4 linked regions of the Saccharomyces cerevisiae S288C genome follow. The protein of the gene in region 1 binds, or shares a complex with, the protein of each later gene. Each region holds a gene or a part of one and is shown in the gene's direction. Other genes may lie near its edges.

What was found.
Region 2: MRPL38 (region 1) and MRPL10 share a complex: the UniProt entries of both Saccharomyces cerevisiae proteins name them as parts of the mitochondrial large ribosomal subunit.
Region 3: MRPL38 (region 1) and MRPL13 share a complex: the UniProt entries of both Saccharomyces cerevisiae proteins name them as parts of the mitochondrial large ribosomal subunit.
Region 4: MRPL38 (region 1) and MRPL27 share a complex: the UniProt entries of both Saccharomyces cerevisiae proteins name them as parts of the mitochondrial large ribosomal subunit.

The regions. Positions count from the first base shown.
Region 1 is NC_001143.9:128,426-131,963, forward strand, and holds MRPL38 (mitochondrial 54S ribosomal protein uL14m MRPL38), read left to right. Parts: upstream 1-2,208; coding exon 2,209-2,625; downstream 2,626-3,538. Other genes in the region: protein kinase NNK1, read left to right, coding at 1-1,836; putative serine/threonine protein kinase KKQ8, read right to left, coding at 2,863-3,538. UniProt on the Saccharomyces cerevisiae protein: Component of the mitochondrial ribosome (mitoribosome), a dedicated translation machinery responsible for the synthesis of mitochondrial genome-encoded proteins, including at least some of the essential transmembrane subunits of the mitochondrial respiratory chain.
Region 2 is NC_001146.8:102,137-106,255, reverse strand, and holds MRPL10 (mitochondrial 54S ribosomal protein uL15m MRPL10), read left to right. Parts: upstream 1-2,153; coding exon 2,154-3,122; downstream 3,123-4,119. Other genes in the region: WSC2 (Wsc2p), read left to right, coding at 1-1,072; YNL284C-A (gag protein), read left to right, coding at 4,024-4,119. UniProt on the Saccharomyces cerevisiae protein: Component of the mitochondrial ribosome (mitoribosome), a dedicated translation machinery responsible for the synthesis of mitochondrial genome-encoded proteins, including at least some of the essential transmembrane subunits of the mitochondrial respiratory chain.
Region 3 is NC_001143.9:449,455-453,487, reverse strand, and holds MRPL13 (mitochondrial 54S ribosomal protein mL50 MRPL13), read left to right. Parts: upstream 1-2,270; coding exon 2,271-3,065; downstream 3,066-4,033. Other genes in the region: RSC4 (Rsc4p), read right to left, coding at 1-1,287; MEH1 (Meh1p), read right to left, coding at 1,500-2,054; YKR005C (uncharacterized protein), read left to right, coding at 3,321-3,467, 3,537-4,033. UniProt on the Saccharomyces cerevisiae protein: Component of the mitochondrial ribosome (mitoribosome), a dedicated translation machinery responsible for the synthesis of mitochondrial genome-encoded proteins, including at least some of the essential transmembrane subunits of the mitochondrial respiratory chain.
Region 4 is NC_001134.8:766,244-769,180, forward strand, and holds MRPL27 (mitochondrial 54S ribosomal protein mL41 MRPL27), read left to right. Parts: upstream 1-1,996; coding exon 1,997-2,437; downstream 2,438-2,937. Other genes in the region: glutamine amidotransferase subunit DUG2, read right to left, coding at 1-1,363; SSH1 (Ssh1p), read right to left, coding at 2,700-2,937. UniProt on the Saccharomyces cerevisiae protein: Component of the mitochondrial ribosome (mitoribosome), a dedicated translation machinery responsible for the synthesis of mitochondrial genome-encoded proteins, including at least some of the essential transmembrane subunits of the mitochondrial respiratory chain.

The DNA.
Region 1 (3,538 bases):
TTTTTGAACTTGCCGTATACTCAAAGGAAAAAGGTGATTATCGAGCATGCACCATCTCATGACTACAAGGCCATGATGTCCCTAGTTAAGAAGTTTATGTTAACATCTTCTAGAAGTAACTTTTCTCTCGCTGGGTTTGCCAATAATGCTTCAGTTTCGCAGGCCACGGCTAATGATGATAACATCAATAGTAGGAACACGCCCAATAATAGCAATGACACCTACGTAAATACGCGTCCACTTCAAAGATCTAGGCACGGTTCCATTGCATCCCAATTTTTAAGTTCTTTTTCACCTTCGATGACGTCAATAGCTAAAATGAATTCGAACCCATTGAGTGGAAGCGCAGGTGGCAGTGCGAGACCAGACGATAAGGGTATGGAAATACTAGGTCATCGGTTGGGTAAAATCATAGGTTTCGGCGCATGGGGGATCATACGGGAATGCTTTGATATTGAAACTGGTGTTGGTAGAGTGATAAAAATTGTGAAGTTCAAAGGACACCAAAATATCAAGAAACATGTGCTGAGAGAAGTAGCCATATGGAGGACTTTGAAGCATAACAGAATACTCCCCCTTTTAGATTGGAAGCTTGATGACAACTATGCAATGTATTGTTTAACGGAAAGAATTAACGATGGTACCTTATACGACTTGGTAATATCTTGGGACGAATTCAAACGTTCGAAGATACCATTTGCAGAGAGATGCAGATTGACCATTTTTTTAAGCTTACAACTATTATCTGCATTAAAGTACATGCATTCCAAAACGATTGTTCATGGTGACATCAAATTAGAAAACTGTCTGTTACAAAAAGAAGGTAAAAAATCGGATTGGAAGGTTTTCCTATGCGATTTTGGAATGAGTTGCCACTTCGATGAGAAGCATGTTTATCGTAACGATACTTTTGATGAAAACTTGAGTAGTGGCAACAGCCATAGAAAGAGAAAAAGTATTGAACAAACTAATTTGATAAAGTATCCCACAACCAATTTTTTACCTGACGACCGAACTAATGATTTTGACGCTAGTGAAAACTTAAAATACCAATTTGAAAATCGAAAGCATCAACCGTTTACACCAAAAGGAATGGTTAGCTCCAGTTCACATTCATTAAAGCATCTCAATCAACCATCCTCTTCTTCTTCTTCTAATCTATTTCACAAGCCAGCCTCTCAACCTCAACCACAGCATCGGAGTCCCTTTCATGGGAGGCACAAGACAACCGATTTTTCAAACCTGGAACCCGAACCTTCTAAATATATCGGATCTCTGCCTTACGCTTCGCCAGAACTTCTAAGATACTCAGATGCAAGACGTTCAAAATCAGTTGAAATGCATATTTATGATTCACCAGACTCCTCTCAATCGGAAATTAGCGCAGCATCATCATCTTCCTCTAATTTATCTTCTCTATCATCCTCTACAAAGGCGTCCGCAGTCACGAATTCCGGTGTAACTACAAGTTCACCGTCTGGTTCATCGACTGATTTTCCATGTATTGTTTCTCCTTTAGGACCAGCATCCGATATTTGGGCCTTGGGAGTAATGCTATATACAATGTTAGTAGGAAAATTACCCTTTAATCATGAGTTCGAACCTAGGTTACGCTCTCTGATTAAAGTAGGCGAATTTGACCGATTTTCTTTAGCTCAGGTCTGTAAATTTGACAGGAAAAAAAATGAAGGAACGATTGGTCAAGGCTTGTATGACACAGTCATTGGATGTTTGACGATTGACTTGGATAAGAGGTGGAAATTGAAAAGGATTGAAGAAGTCCTTCAAAACGAAATGAACCTAAGCGAGGCCATTCACGATAATAATGGCTCATGACTTATGATTAATGATATTGATTGCATTGAAAAAATACATACATTGTGCTTACTTTTTTTTCTCCCATTTTATAAATTATAACGAACTTCATAATTACTATTACGAAATATGTAAATAAGTATTTTTATCGCATATTTGATGCCTCTATCACTTATTTGGCGCTATTCATTGCGACTCGTGCAACGTGCGAAAACTCAGAATATTTTTTTGAACAGCCTTAAATCATGTTGCTAAATGACGGATGGAAGAAAAGGGACCTATAGAAGAGTTCGGATAAATTGTGAAGCGTGGATATTGGCATAGCGGATTTGTAGAACGGTGTGTCGTCAACCCTTTGAGATCTGGATAAGCCATATTTTCTAACATCACAACATGATATTTCTAAAATCTGTCATCAAGGTAATCGACAATTCAGGTGCACAATTAGCAGAATGTATTAAAGTAATAAGGAAAGGGTCCCCCAAGAGTCCTGCAATGGTTGGAGACAGAATAGTCTGTGTTATACAGAAAGCAAAGCCCTTGACTCAAAACATTACGGGGACAGCCAACACCAACCGTGTCAAAAAAGGTGATATTTGTCACGCAATTGTCGTAAGGTCTAAACAGCGTAACATGTGCAGAAAGGATGGCTCCACCGTTGCATTCGGAGATACTGCTTGCGTTTTGATTAATAAAAATACCGGTGAACCTCTGGGGACAAGAATTATGGCTAATGATGGTTGTGTAGATAGAACACTGAAAGACAAGGGATACAATAAGATATGCTCTTTGGCAAGTAGGGTCATATAAGAATAAAAGTACCCCCATTTTCCATTCATTAACGTTATAATCAAGGGACTGTAAACCAGCAAAAGAGCTTTGTCGTCATTATTTAATTAACCACCTGTATATATTGCTTAAATTTTAATGTATGACTTTAACTTTGAAAACGCATGAACGTGCTGCTGACGTTCTACTCATTGGAGTTGTATTCTTTTTCTTGTCTTATTCTATAATTGCATGCCGTGAATATTGTATACAAGATATTTATGTGGAATCATATATTAGGCAGCAATTCGTACTTTTCATCCACTGCATATCTAAAAGTTTGCCAACAGAAATCCTTTTTCTTGGTTCCCATTGAAAGATGCGATATAATGCGATTTTTCTATTTGTGGCCAACTCTGAGTTTACGTGCTTTAATTCTTCGAATACCCTAAACTGGTTTTTACGCTGCATTTCCTTGTAAAATTCATCATAAGACATATCTTTTTCTCTCGAAGCTACTTTCCAAAGATAATGCCCCAATATCATTGTTATATAAACAACGCCACAACTCCAACAGTCAATCAGTCTTGGATCGTAATACTCCCCATCAACAAACTCTTCTGGAGCTACGTAAGGCTCTGATCCAATTATACCCTTTTGAGCATGAACCCTCCTTTCCCAAGCGGTTTGAAATACAGAACTTGTACCGAAGTCACATATTTTCAATAGACCATGCGGATAAAAGAGAATATTTTCAGGTTTTAAATCACAATGAGCGATACCATGATCATGCATGAACTTAACACCATGAAGCAGTTGCTTCATGAAACAATCGGCTTCTAACGGATGTAATCGGCCCTTTAATTTCGACTTACCGACCAGCATACCATAAAGGTCACCAGCAGGGCAAAATTCCATTACTTCAATAAACGAAGAACTGTCTTCTAGAATATCA
Region 2 (4,119 bases), on another chromosome or scaffold:
GTCCACGAAATTGGACACGAAAACTTCAACTAGTTCTTCTGCTACGCACTCATCCTCTTCCTCGTCTACAACCTCCACTACCACTTCCTCTTCAGAGACAACTACTTCCTCCTCTTCTTCATCCTCTTCCTCTTCTACGTCTACTACTTCTACTACTTCTACTACCTCTAGTACTACTTCTACTTCTTCTTCTCCTTCCACCACTTCCTCTAGCACTTCTGCCTCTTCCAGTTCAGAAACGTCCTCTACGCAGGCAACTTCTTCATCCACCACATCGACCTCATCCTCAACTTCGACAGCAACGGTCACTTCTACCCCCTCATCGACTTCAATAGGTACTTCCACGCATTACACTACCCGTGTGGTGACGCAGTCCGTGGTTTCTCAAGCTAACCAACAAGCAAGCACGATCTTTACCACCAGGACCTCTGTTTATGCAACAGTATCGTCTACGTCCTCCTCTACTAGTTCTCTCTTAAACGGGAAATCGAGCTCGTCCAAGAGCAAAGGCTTGAGTGGTGGCGCCATCGCAGGTGTCGTAGTAGGTGTGGTTTGTGGTACAGTTGCCTTGTTGGCTCTGGCGTTATTCTTTTTCGTATGGAAAAAACGTCGCCAATCTTCTCAGCATGTGGACTTGGAAGAGACAAAGCAGTACCAGCCGTACTCACTGGGTGATGCTGACGCTAACCCTGTTATTCCACCGTCTGCTTCGAGCACTAACTGGCACATACCCTCTAGGAATAATACAGCATTGTCCAAGAATACAGCGTCTACTTTTGCCACTTATGATCTGCCGACAAGGGCGCCGGGCGGCAGAGATTCTATTATTACTGGTGATGCACATAATATCAGCAAAAGAAGTCACTTTCCCTCGGTAGTGTACGAGGAGCCTCCTTCGATCTATAACGGGAACCAAAGGTTCAGTGCTACTTCGCTGCCCGATATGATGGAAGAAAGACAACTACACATTGTCAACCCCGATAATGTGAGTTCAAATATTGGGAGTAATGTCTCAGATGGTGATGATGATTACGATGATGCAAAGGATTCCAATAATAGTTCTTTGCGCTGACTAGGTTTAGATACCAACACTACATATTCATATCAAAGACTTATTCATCCTTTCATATTTCTTTCCTTCATTTTCCCTTTGTATGTATAATATTATTAAAGCCGACGATTATTGCACGAAAGAAAAAAAATATAGATAAAGTGAACAGTACCGACCATATCAATATTGATTTATCATGTTAAAAAGTTAAGTATATGTATAGTTTATCAAAATGAATGTACACATTTTCTATTCTTCACAAATCTGAGGCAATGGGGTCTGTCTCAAATCACCATCAGGCATGTTTACCGTAGAATAAAAATAATATGCTTCCAATCGGATTTGAACCGATGATCTCCACATTACTAGTGTGGCGCCTTACCAACTTGGCCATAGAAGCTCAGAACTTGAGAAAACCGGATATACAAGTGCTACTTAACAAAATGAGTATGGAAATCCTAATCTTCTTACTTTAGTTAGTATAAGAATCTGTGTATATTTGGTGAATAATTTGATGATTGTTGGGATTCCATTGTTAATAAATACTATACTAGAAGTTCTCCTCGAGGACATATGATGTCGTTAGGACGTGATAAAAACCATTTCGTCCTTGGGAGATCACGGATGCATCGAGAAGTTTCCTAGCCAGTCATTGGGTTATTGTGCCGAAATTAACTTTAATCAATCAGAAGAGAGAAACCAAATGGCGTCCCCCAATTATTCACACTTCTGCAAAACAACTTAATTACTTTTCGTTTTTCACAAAACAAACGCAGCTCATATTTTGGGTAGGGCATTCCAAGTATCCATTTTATTGTGCGTTCATTGGTCTCGGTGAACGTAGGACAATATGAGTTCCGATTATACCAAATACCGTAGCAAACTCCTGATTGCAATTAAACAGTATATTTTGCGTATTCTGCGTCGCAAGCAATGTTAGATAAGGTACCTTTATGTACTATACAAAGCTACTATTCACAGCTACTATCTTTATATCCGTTTTTCTATTTGGCAATCGTATAGTTTTCTTACCCGGCTGAAACTCCAGGTAACTGCACTAAACGCAGTGCGTAAAATTAAAGCTCATGACCTTTAGAAGTTGATGAAAGCGGAAAGGCAAACAGGATTAAGAAATAGTTTTACAACCGTAATCGGTCGCAAACTAATAAACACTTTTGTTCCGTCCATGATGTTAACTAGCGTAGCTGGTAACGATATTTTTTTCCGAGGTTTATTCAAATCGCCGGTATTAGCATTTCAAAGTTATCGTTATGTTTCGATTTTGGGACAATTGAAACCGTCAGATGGTTCTACAAAGTCTTTCAAAAGACTTGGGCGTGGTCCTTCCAGCGGTTTAGGTAAGACATCAGGGCGTGGTCAAAAGGGTCAAAAGGCGCGTGGTAAAGTAAAATCGTGGTTTGAAGGTGGTCAAACTCCAATTTACAAGCTATTTCCTAAAATTGGATTTACCAACGTTGGCGCCAAACCATTAAAGGAATTAAACTTGAAACGCATTCAATGGTTTCATGATAAAAATAGGCTTCATTTGCAACCAGGCGAGGTTTTAGACATGAATAAGATGAGAAAGCTTGGTCTGGTAACTGGTCCCATAAAGTACGGAGTTAAAATTCTAGCCAGCGGAAAGTTCCACTACAATCTACCGATTGCTTTGGAGGCTTCTAGAGCATCCGCTAAGGCTATTGCGGCTATTGAAAAAGCAGGAGGTAAGTTTACAGCTCGTTACTACACACCGTTGGGTCTAAGGGCACATCTCAACCCCCAGTGGTTTCTTGAGAAGAGGGGAAGAGTACCACTACAGGCTAGACCCACGAAAAGAAGGGATATTGATTTCTATAGTAAAGAAGAGAAAAGAGGTTACCTAGTAATGGAAAAAGATAAACTCTTACAAGATATCAAAGAAGCTCAAAATAAGGGTTCTAGACACTTTTTAAAACAGAATGTAAAAAAGAGCTCATTAGAAATAGAGCTAGAAGAACTGTCTCCAGAGAAGGATTGGGTGCCAGTTGTGTCTAATTCTAAAGTCATGAACATCAAGGCTTTGGACCACTAAAAAATTGTTAACCGTTTTATATATAAGTAATATTCTCACTTGTACATACCTTAAGATATTGTCTTGTTAATGATTCATTTGGTGTCCGAAATTATTCTATTTTTCAGTCAATTTATGACCAACTATCGAATAAGGTCCTGATTTTCAGAAATTTTTAACTTTTATTTTCTTTTTTGTGAATATACTTTAAGCAAACTCAAACATATTAAAAGATTGCATCTTGCTTTTTCGGGAGAAGTAAAGCAGTTAAAGGAAAAGAGAAAAACTACATTCTTCTTTTAAGCATTATTATAACAGGGTGAAATGGTTATTTAGTAAATAAGCACAAATACAAAAAAAATAAACGACCCCAGTGAGGGTTGAACTCACGATCTTGCGATTAACAGTCGCACGCCTTAACCAACTTGGCCATGGAGTCTTATAATATATGATTTGTTGTATCTCAAAATGAGGTACGTCAGTATGACGATTCCTTATCCTAAACGTTCCTAAAACACATATGTGTGGGAAATGGGTGAATTTTGAGAATTGGGCGAATTTTGAGAGAATTGTTTGGATAGACGATAGTGGATTTTTATTCCAACATGATCAACTAATAGATCTTTAACACTGTTGGAATAAAAATCCACTATCGTCTATCAACTAATAGTTATATTATCAATATATTATCATATACGGTGTTAAGATGATGACATAAGTTATGAGAAGCTGTCATCGAGGTTAGAGGAAGCTGAAGTGCAAGGATTGATAATGTAATAGGATAATGAAACATATAAAACGGAATGAGGAATAATCGTAATATTAGTATGTAGAAATATAGATTCCATTTTGAGGATTCCTATATCCTCGAGGAGAACTTCTAGTATATTCTGTATACCTAATATTATAGCCTTTATCAACAATGGAATCCCAACAATTATCTCAACATTCACCCATTTCTCATGGTAGCGCCTGTGCTTCGGTTACTTCTAAGGAAGTCCACACAAATCAAGATCCG
Region 3 (4,033 bases), 320 kb from region 1:
GGATTTTATAACATTGTATTTGGGGATTTTTAAATGTTCGCTCTCTAAGGAGTTTGTCTTCTCAATATCAGATGTCGTTGATCTTTCATTTTTGACTTCGGATTGCACTGTTTCCGGTTTGGCTATTAACTTTTTGAAGTTGTTTGGGTTCAGTAAATAATCTTCAGTTAGGAGAGAACGATTATAACCATTGCCGAGACCTTCGAAATGATTGAAATCATAATCTGCTTGATCAATAAGATCTTCACGGTTAGATTCTGGCTCAATATCATTATCAAGAGCAGATATAGCTAACGCACCTGCTGCGGCTGGACCACCACCACCAATAGCTAAGTAGTTTTCGAATTCGAATTTGTCAAATTCTAAATTAATTTCGCCACGTTCATTTAAATCCTGTAACTCTGGGAAGAATTCCTTTTGTATTAAGTAGTTAAAATAATTTGTTAAAGTTGTTGCGTCTTTGTAAATCAAAGCGCTTGGATCATTGAATATATGAGCATTCTGAAAAACTAAAAGCATATCAATGATGAAATCATATATCTTGGAATACTGACCAATTTCGAGGTTCTGCTTTACGATCGATAAAGCCATGGGGCTATGCACTATTTCATAATATTCAGGAAGTTCATCTTTATCGACTAATTCCATAAACGGTTCACTTAGCTTGACTTTGTCGTCTAAGTTTTTAGGAGATGACGCACCCAGCAGAGCCTGGTTGATTTTCTTTTCCGTGGCGTCAACTAGCTTATTAAGATAGTGCAGTAATTTGGCTTTGACCTCGCTGTTAATTAAGTAATTTCTTTTCAAATTTTTTGCCTTCAATACTTCAAATTCAATCAACATTACTACTTGCATGGAGTTTTTTACAATCAAACTGTCATATTCATTGTAAGCTTGACAATTCTTTGTCAGTAGCTCAACATCCAAAAGAAAATTACTTGGACCATCTTCGTATTCATAATCTCTTGACTTGATTTCATTAATAGACATTGGCTGCTGGATCTTGTAATAATACTGTGGATGAAACTTCCTACTTGGTAGTTTGATGAAATCTTTGAAAATATCTTTGTATTTGTCGATAAGAACATCCAAAGTGAAACTAATAAATCGATTAAATTTAGGTATATGCCAGTCATCTAGAAAAAGTTCAGATTTAGGGTTTAATGGGGCGTTATAATCCACATGCGGAGTTTTCTCTTGGTTTTTAGGATGTTTTCCCGGCAAGTATTTAGGCCTTTCATCACTGCCACCGGCCTCAGTTGCCAACTTACGCTTCTTAACTACCATATCTGTGTACTTTATCTATTATTCTTTGGTTTGCTCTCTATTGTAATAACAGGCTGAGGGTCGTTTTAAACATCATCCTCTAGCATGCTTTTGTTGTTTTTTTTCTTGGGCTACTTGTCTTCCGAATTCGTCAAATGTGATTTTTTATTTCATTAACTATTTAACATTTATTTATAAAGCTTGTATACCAATGATGTTATACAAAAAGTTCATTAAAAGGGAACCGTCAAGGGGCCTGGTTTGTTTACCTGGGACTGGCTGAAAATTTCATTTAGTATATTAGAGTGCAACTTCTTTAACTGTTCCTTTGATATTTTCGCTGAATCCGGTGATGTAAGCAGAGTAAACGTATTAGTCCTTGGTGCAGTTTGGTGAGTAGTTGCCTGTGCGGATCCGCTTGAAGGCACTGAGTGCCCACTGAGGTTGTCATCACCTGCACTCCTTTCGTCTTCCCGGGAATCTCCACCTTCTTCCTGTTGTCTTTTATCAAGAGCTTCTTGCAGGTCTGTCCCTTGAATTACAATGCCACTATTGTTTATCATCGATATGTCTATTAGTTTATCGTTGGTGTTTGCAACAATGTCTCTTAACTCTTGTTCCCTGGCCAGCAGTTTCTGTTCGTGTTCGTGTTCCTTCAACCGCATTTGTTCGGCATCGTATTCGTCATTTGCGTTTCCTTGACTTCCATAGCCTGCCTGCTGTTCCCTCAGCAAAGCTTCATTCTCTTCGCCGGAATGGTTTCTACAACAGCTGAGTACGGCTCCCATTTTTACGACTTAAATCTGTCGTTGTATCCACTACCGCTATACTGGATTCGTACTCTGTGAATGCTCTCTTTTATTCTTCGTTCTTTATCGCTGCTGGTGAGGCGGGTAGCTGACAAATTTATAGTGAAACAACGACTTCTGTCAAATTAACTGCATGCCTGATCATCAGTCCTGAAGTGAATAATGGGTAGACGGAAAGGCGGACATAGTATGAGGATGTCGTCACTGCTTAAATTACATTGTATTAGACCATTGCCGCAAAGGTCGGTCTGGCTCTCTGGCTACAAGCAGAAAGCCAGATGTATTCACAGTTCCGCTGCAAACGGGGACTTTATGTCATGGTTCAAGAGGAAGAAGCAAGAAGAGCACCAAGAGCCTGTCAAGGACACCAAACAGTTGATAAAGGATATTGAAGAAGGCACTAACGAGGCTTCCTCTCAATCCTCTTCCAATAACAAAAACAGATTGGAGCTAATACCAGAAAATTTTATTGGCGAAGGGTCTAGACGGTGTAAGAGACAGAAGGAGTTGAAGCTTGCGGTCTCCTCTGCGCCATTCAATCAGTGGTTATCCAGGGATAAGATTACGTCTGATAATCAGTTAGATGATATGATATTGCAGGCAACGGAAAAAACATTGGGCAAAGTAGACCAGGACGTCCAATTCTCTGATTTGGTAGCTAAATTTCAGTTCACCAAATTTTTGCAATCTAAATCTGGCTATCTAATTCCTGATTATGAACTGACCACTTTAAGCACACCCTTGCAGTTTAAAAGGTATATTAAGGAAAAAATTTTGCCATCTGCCAACGATCCTAAACTCGCTTATAAAGAAGCTGAGCCAAATGCTATCCACCCATTTTCTGATAATTACGCGTCACCAAACATATATGTTGTTAACGATGTTACTTCTAAAGAGCAAAAAAGTAAATATGATACTATTATGAAAGAAATTCAAAAGTTAGAGGATGATGCAACAAGAAAAGCTTTGGAAACAGCAAGATCCGCTTAGCTTATGTTAATACTATTATTACTACTATCATTACATTTTAATATCCTGTACATATATATACTCTTTGAAGAAGTTTGGATTTTTCTTTCCCATTATAGATCACTTTTTTTTTTTACCTTATCTTTTCTGTAAGTTCTTTTTGTGGCTATATTTCCTCTTTGGCGGCTAACTCAAGAAGCAGTAAGGGAATAATTCGTTACACATTACAGCTAGCTAAAATCATCAAGAGGCAGGAACACACGAGATATACTGATAATGTTGGAATGTCTAAGCGCTCTGCTGGTTCTCTTTGCCGGTGGTGGTGGGAGCGTTCTCGCAGCGGTTCAAAGCAAAACTGTGGCAGATCCTAACTTATGTCCAGGTTACAATTCACAACTGATTTCCCCCTTCCTCTCCAGTTGCGTATGTACAACAAATTTACCGAGGTACTAATATTCTCTAGATTTTATTACTGACAAGATCCATGTGAAGAAACGAAATTTAAGTGAATGCGTGTCCCGTTATTTTGATGAACAATATGCATTTTGTCGGTCATGCGTTACTGTGAATAATGAAACAATGGAGGACTTGGATAACTGCAAATGTTTACAGTGTGCCTTGAGTTCCCTTAATAATAGCTGCTTTCACGATTACTGTACCTCCAAAGATGAGTATGACAAGTTGCAGATCGTTGTTGAACAATTTCAATTGACAAATGGAGTTTTAGATGACGGAGAGATTTTGAAACCTAGAGGCAACAAATTTTCTAGTAGAAAATTGTCTTATTTCGTTGGTCAAAACAATACTCTTTTTAGGAACCCTTTGCAGTTCGAAAAAAACCAATTAATTTCTGCACTATTAACCTCTTTAACCAATAATCAAAAGACTATATCATCAGTTGACATGTTCGAAGTGGTTGACGCTAATAATGAAGTTCAATATTTGCGCGAAAGAACGATAAGTGGTAAAACTCTGTCTCCAGCTACTGG
Region 4 (2,937 bases), on another chromosome or scaffold:
CTTTGCTTTGAGACACTGTCTGGAAAGAAATAAGTTCTCTCAGTGTGTTTAACATCTCCTCGTTATTTAGAGAGGCAGATTGATAGGCGGCCCATAAATTGGTGGTTTGTAATGTAGATGATGCATTGATGGGTGAGTTGCTTGACAGAGGCACCGCAGATAATAATGAGGTTATATCCCAGAGAGTCAATGACCCATCGCTACCACCCGTTAATAAACTAACAGATCCAGCATTTGATTTACTGAAAATCTCTGAGCTTAATATTTTTCCTTGTTGAGGGTTCCAATGGTTAACTTGGTTCTGGTAAAAATGCGTGATGCCTGATTCATCAATGGCAAATACATGGTCCATATAAACTGATATTGAAATGACGTCCGATTCATGCTTTGTTTTCAGAGTTGAGATTATTTGCTGAGTATTTAAGTCCCAGATTTTTATAATCCCGTCAGTCAACCCGCAATATAAAAATGGGAACTCAATAGTTTGGGATATGACGCTATCTTCATTGTCGATTTTATCGTTTATCAAGGAGATTTTAACAGTGTTTTGCCCTTTATCTTTAGAGAACTCCCAAAGCTTGCTTATTCCATCACCAGCGGATGAAATTATGTGCTCTGCACCAGAAGTTCGTGAGCTTTTTTCCAATAACTGATTAAACCTGGGACACAATTTATTAATAGAATAAATAAACCCATAATGTGCATATTTAATAATGTTTTCGGAGGGAACCTCTATGATGGCAGCGCCACAGTTTTCTTGTAGAGAGGTCAATGAAGTTTGAGATAATGAATTTGAACTATATCCAGTCGGACCTAACGAATCAAAGAACTTATCATATCTTCTATGCGGTAATTTATTGATATTTTCTACTCCATCAGAGGATTTTTTTTCAATCTTCTGAATCAAGTTCTCAACATATAGTAAGCTTGCATTTTGACAGCCAAAGACAATAGTTTCCAACGAATCCAAATATGCCAATGAGAAAATATCACCAATATCGGTCACTGAGTAAACAGTGGCTATTTCAGTAACAGGTAGAAAGTCATCTCTAATGGTCTTTTCGCCAATGGACCAAATTCTCACCAAAGAATCTGCGCCGCCTGAAAATAAAAAGTTTTCATCTTCTGATCCTGTCAAGCACAAAACCGAAGATCTGGTATGCGTTTCCTCTTGTGATTCGCCTAGTCTAATCGTATGTATTAGATTATATGTGGGAAGATCAAAAACCAATATCTTGGAGTCTTGGCTACCAGCAAACAACAATCTTTTTTTTGGAAATGCAACAATGGATAAGATGGAAAAAGCGTGATTCCACCTATGAATTAGTTCAGAGTGCAATGCGACACCCCTGCTATCGTACATGATTTCACAATTACTTCTGCCCTCGTTTTTCACTTTTCCTTACAGGGTTGTTCGGTTTCTCGAAATAGTTTTTCACTTAAATAATTCAGTTACACACATTTTATTGATATTGGTGCCACAGCTTTTCGCGGCGCACAATGCGATTATCACTCAAGTTTATGGTAAAGTCGGTATTCCCTCTCATGAGAAAAAAAAAAAAAGATACCATCTTCATTGAACTTCTAATTGCAGCAGTAATTGTGAGCAATGCTCAAGAGCTTCCTTACCATATAACAAAACATCGAAATCAGAGGATCATTCTAGATCAAAGTGAAATGCCCTTAACTATGAAAAGGAATACGAAAATAGCTGTGAAGTGTTATTATAATTATTAACAAGGTTAGTAATCTTTAAACAGAGCCTAATACTTGCGGGAAGGACTTTCAATGTTGCTTCACTGCAGCTTGTTGGCGGCTATTTGATGATGATTTTCTTGAGATACATAATTATTATTATCACGTTTCACGGATTATTTTTGAAAAGCTAGAATTAATACAAAAGATAGGACTATTGAAGTAGTATACACCAATTTTTGCTTAAAAAAACTACGGGAATCAAAGATTACCTTGAAAGTGAGGACAGCAAATAACTAAAATGAAAGGCTCACCCATTTCTCAATTTAGTAAGACCTCTATTAATGCTCTTACCAGGCCTTGGAAGAAATACAGAGATGGTGAATTATTTTATGGGTTATCAAAAGTTGGGAATAAAAGAGTGCCGTTGACCACGAAGCAAGGTAACAAGACGATGTACAAAGGGACAAGAGCTTCAGGGATTGGTAGACATACAAAATTCGGTGGTTATGTGATAAACTGGAAGAAAGTCAGAACCTATGTTACCCCAGATATGGTTAATTTCGAATTAAAGCCCTACGTTAACGCAAATGTACCACCTCTAAAACACGAATTTAAAGGATTTAGCGGCGGCCCATTAGATCCTCGTTTACAGTTATTAAAGATAAAAGAATACATAGTAAACGGGAGGGTACAAAGCGAAGGGGCCACCGACACTTCATGTTATAAGGAGCGTGGATAAGTTATTTATAATCTTTCTTCAATATGCGTGTAAATACTAGTTTTCGACTTTATAGGTAGATAAAAAATAAAACTTAAGATTGTAAAACAAAATCAAATAAAACATGGCTTAGACATTGCACCATATGTCATCTTTCTTTGAGTTAAATATAGATACATATAAATCTAAAAGAAGAGCAAAAAGTTCGTACGTATATAAATGCGCGTAGCAGAGAGAATTTGATCTTCTTTTTTGTTTTCCTTCTTTTTTTTCTTTTCTTTGTTTACATAGCACCTGGAACACCCAAGACTTGATTCAAAGCACTTTGACCGCCACTTTGTTGGTATTCAATGGTAATGACTTCTAGCAAAGAAAACCCACCAGCAATGCCAACAACTATACCAGCAGCTTTACCTTTCAAACCCAAAGATTCACCGATAACGGTGATCAAACTTAAGACGGATGCACCCGTAACAGCTGCGATTGGAATGACTTTGTTCAATTCTTTAGCGACATTCTGT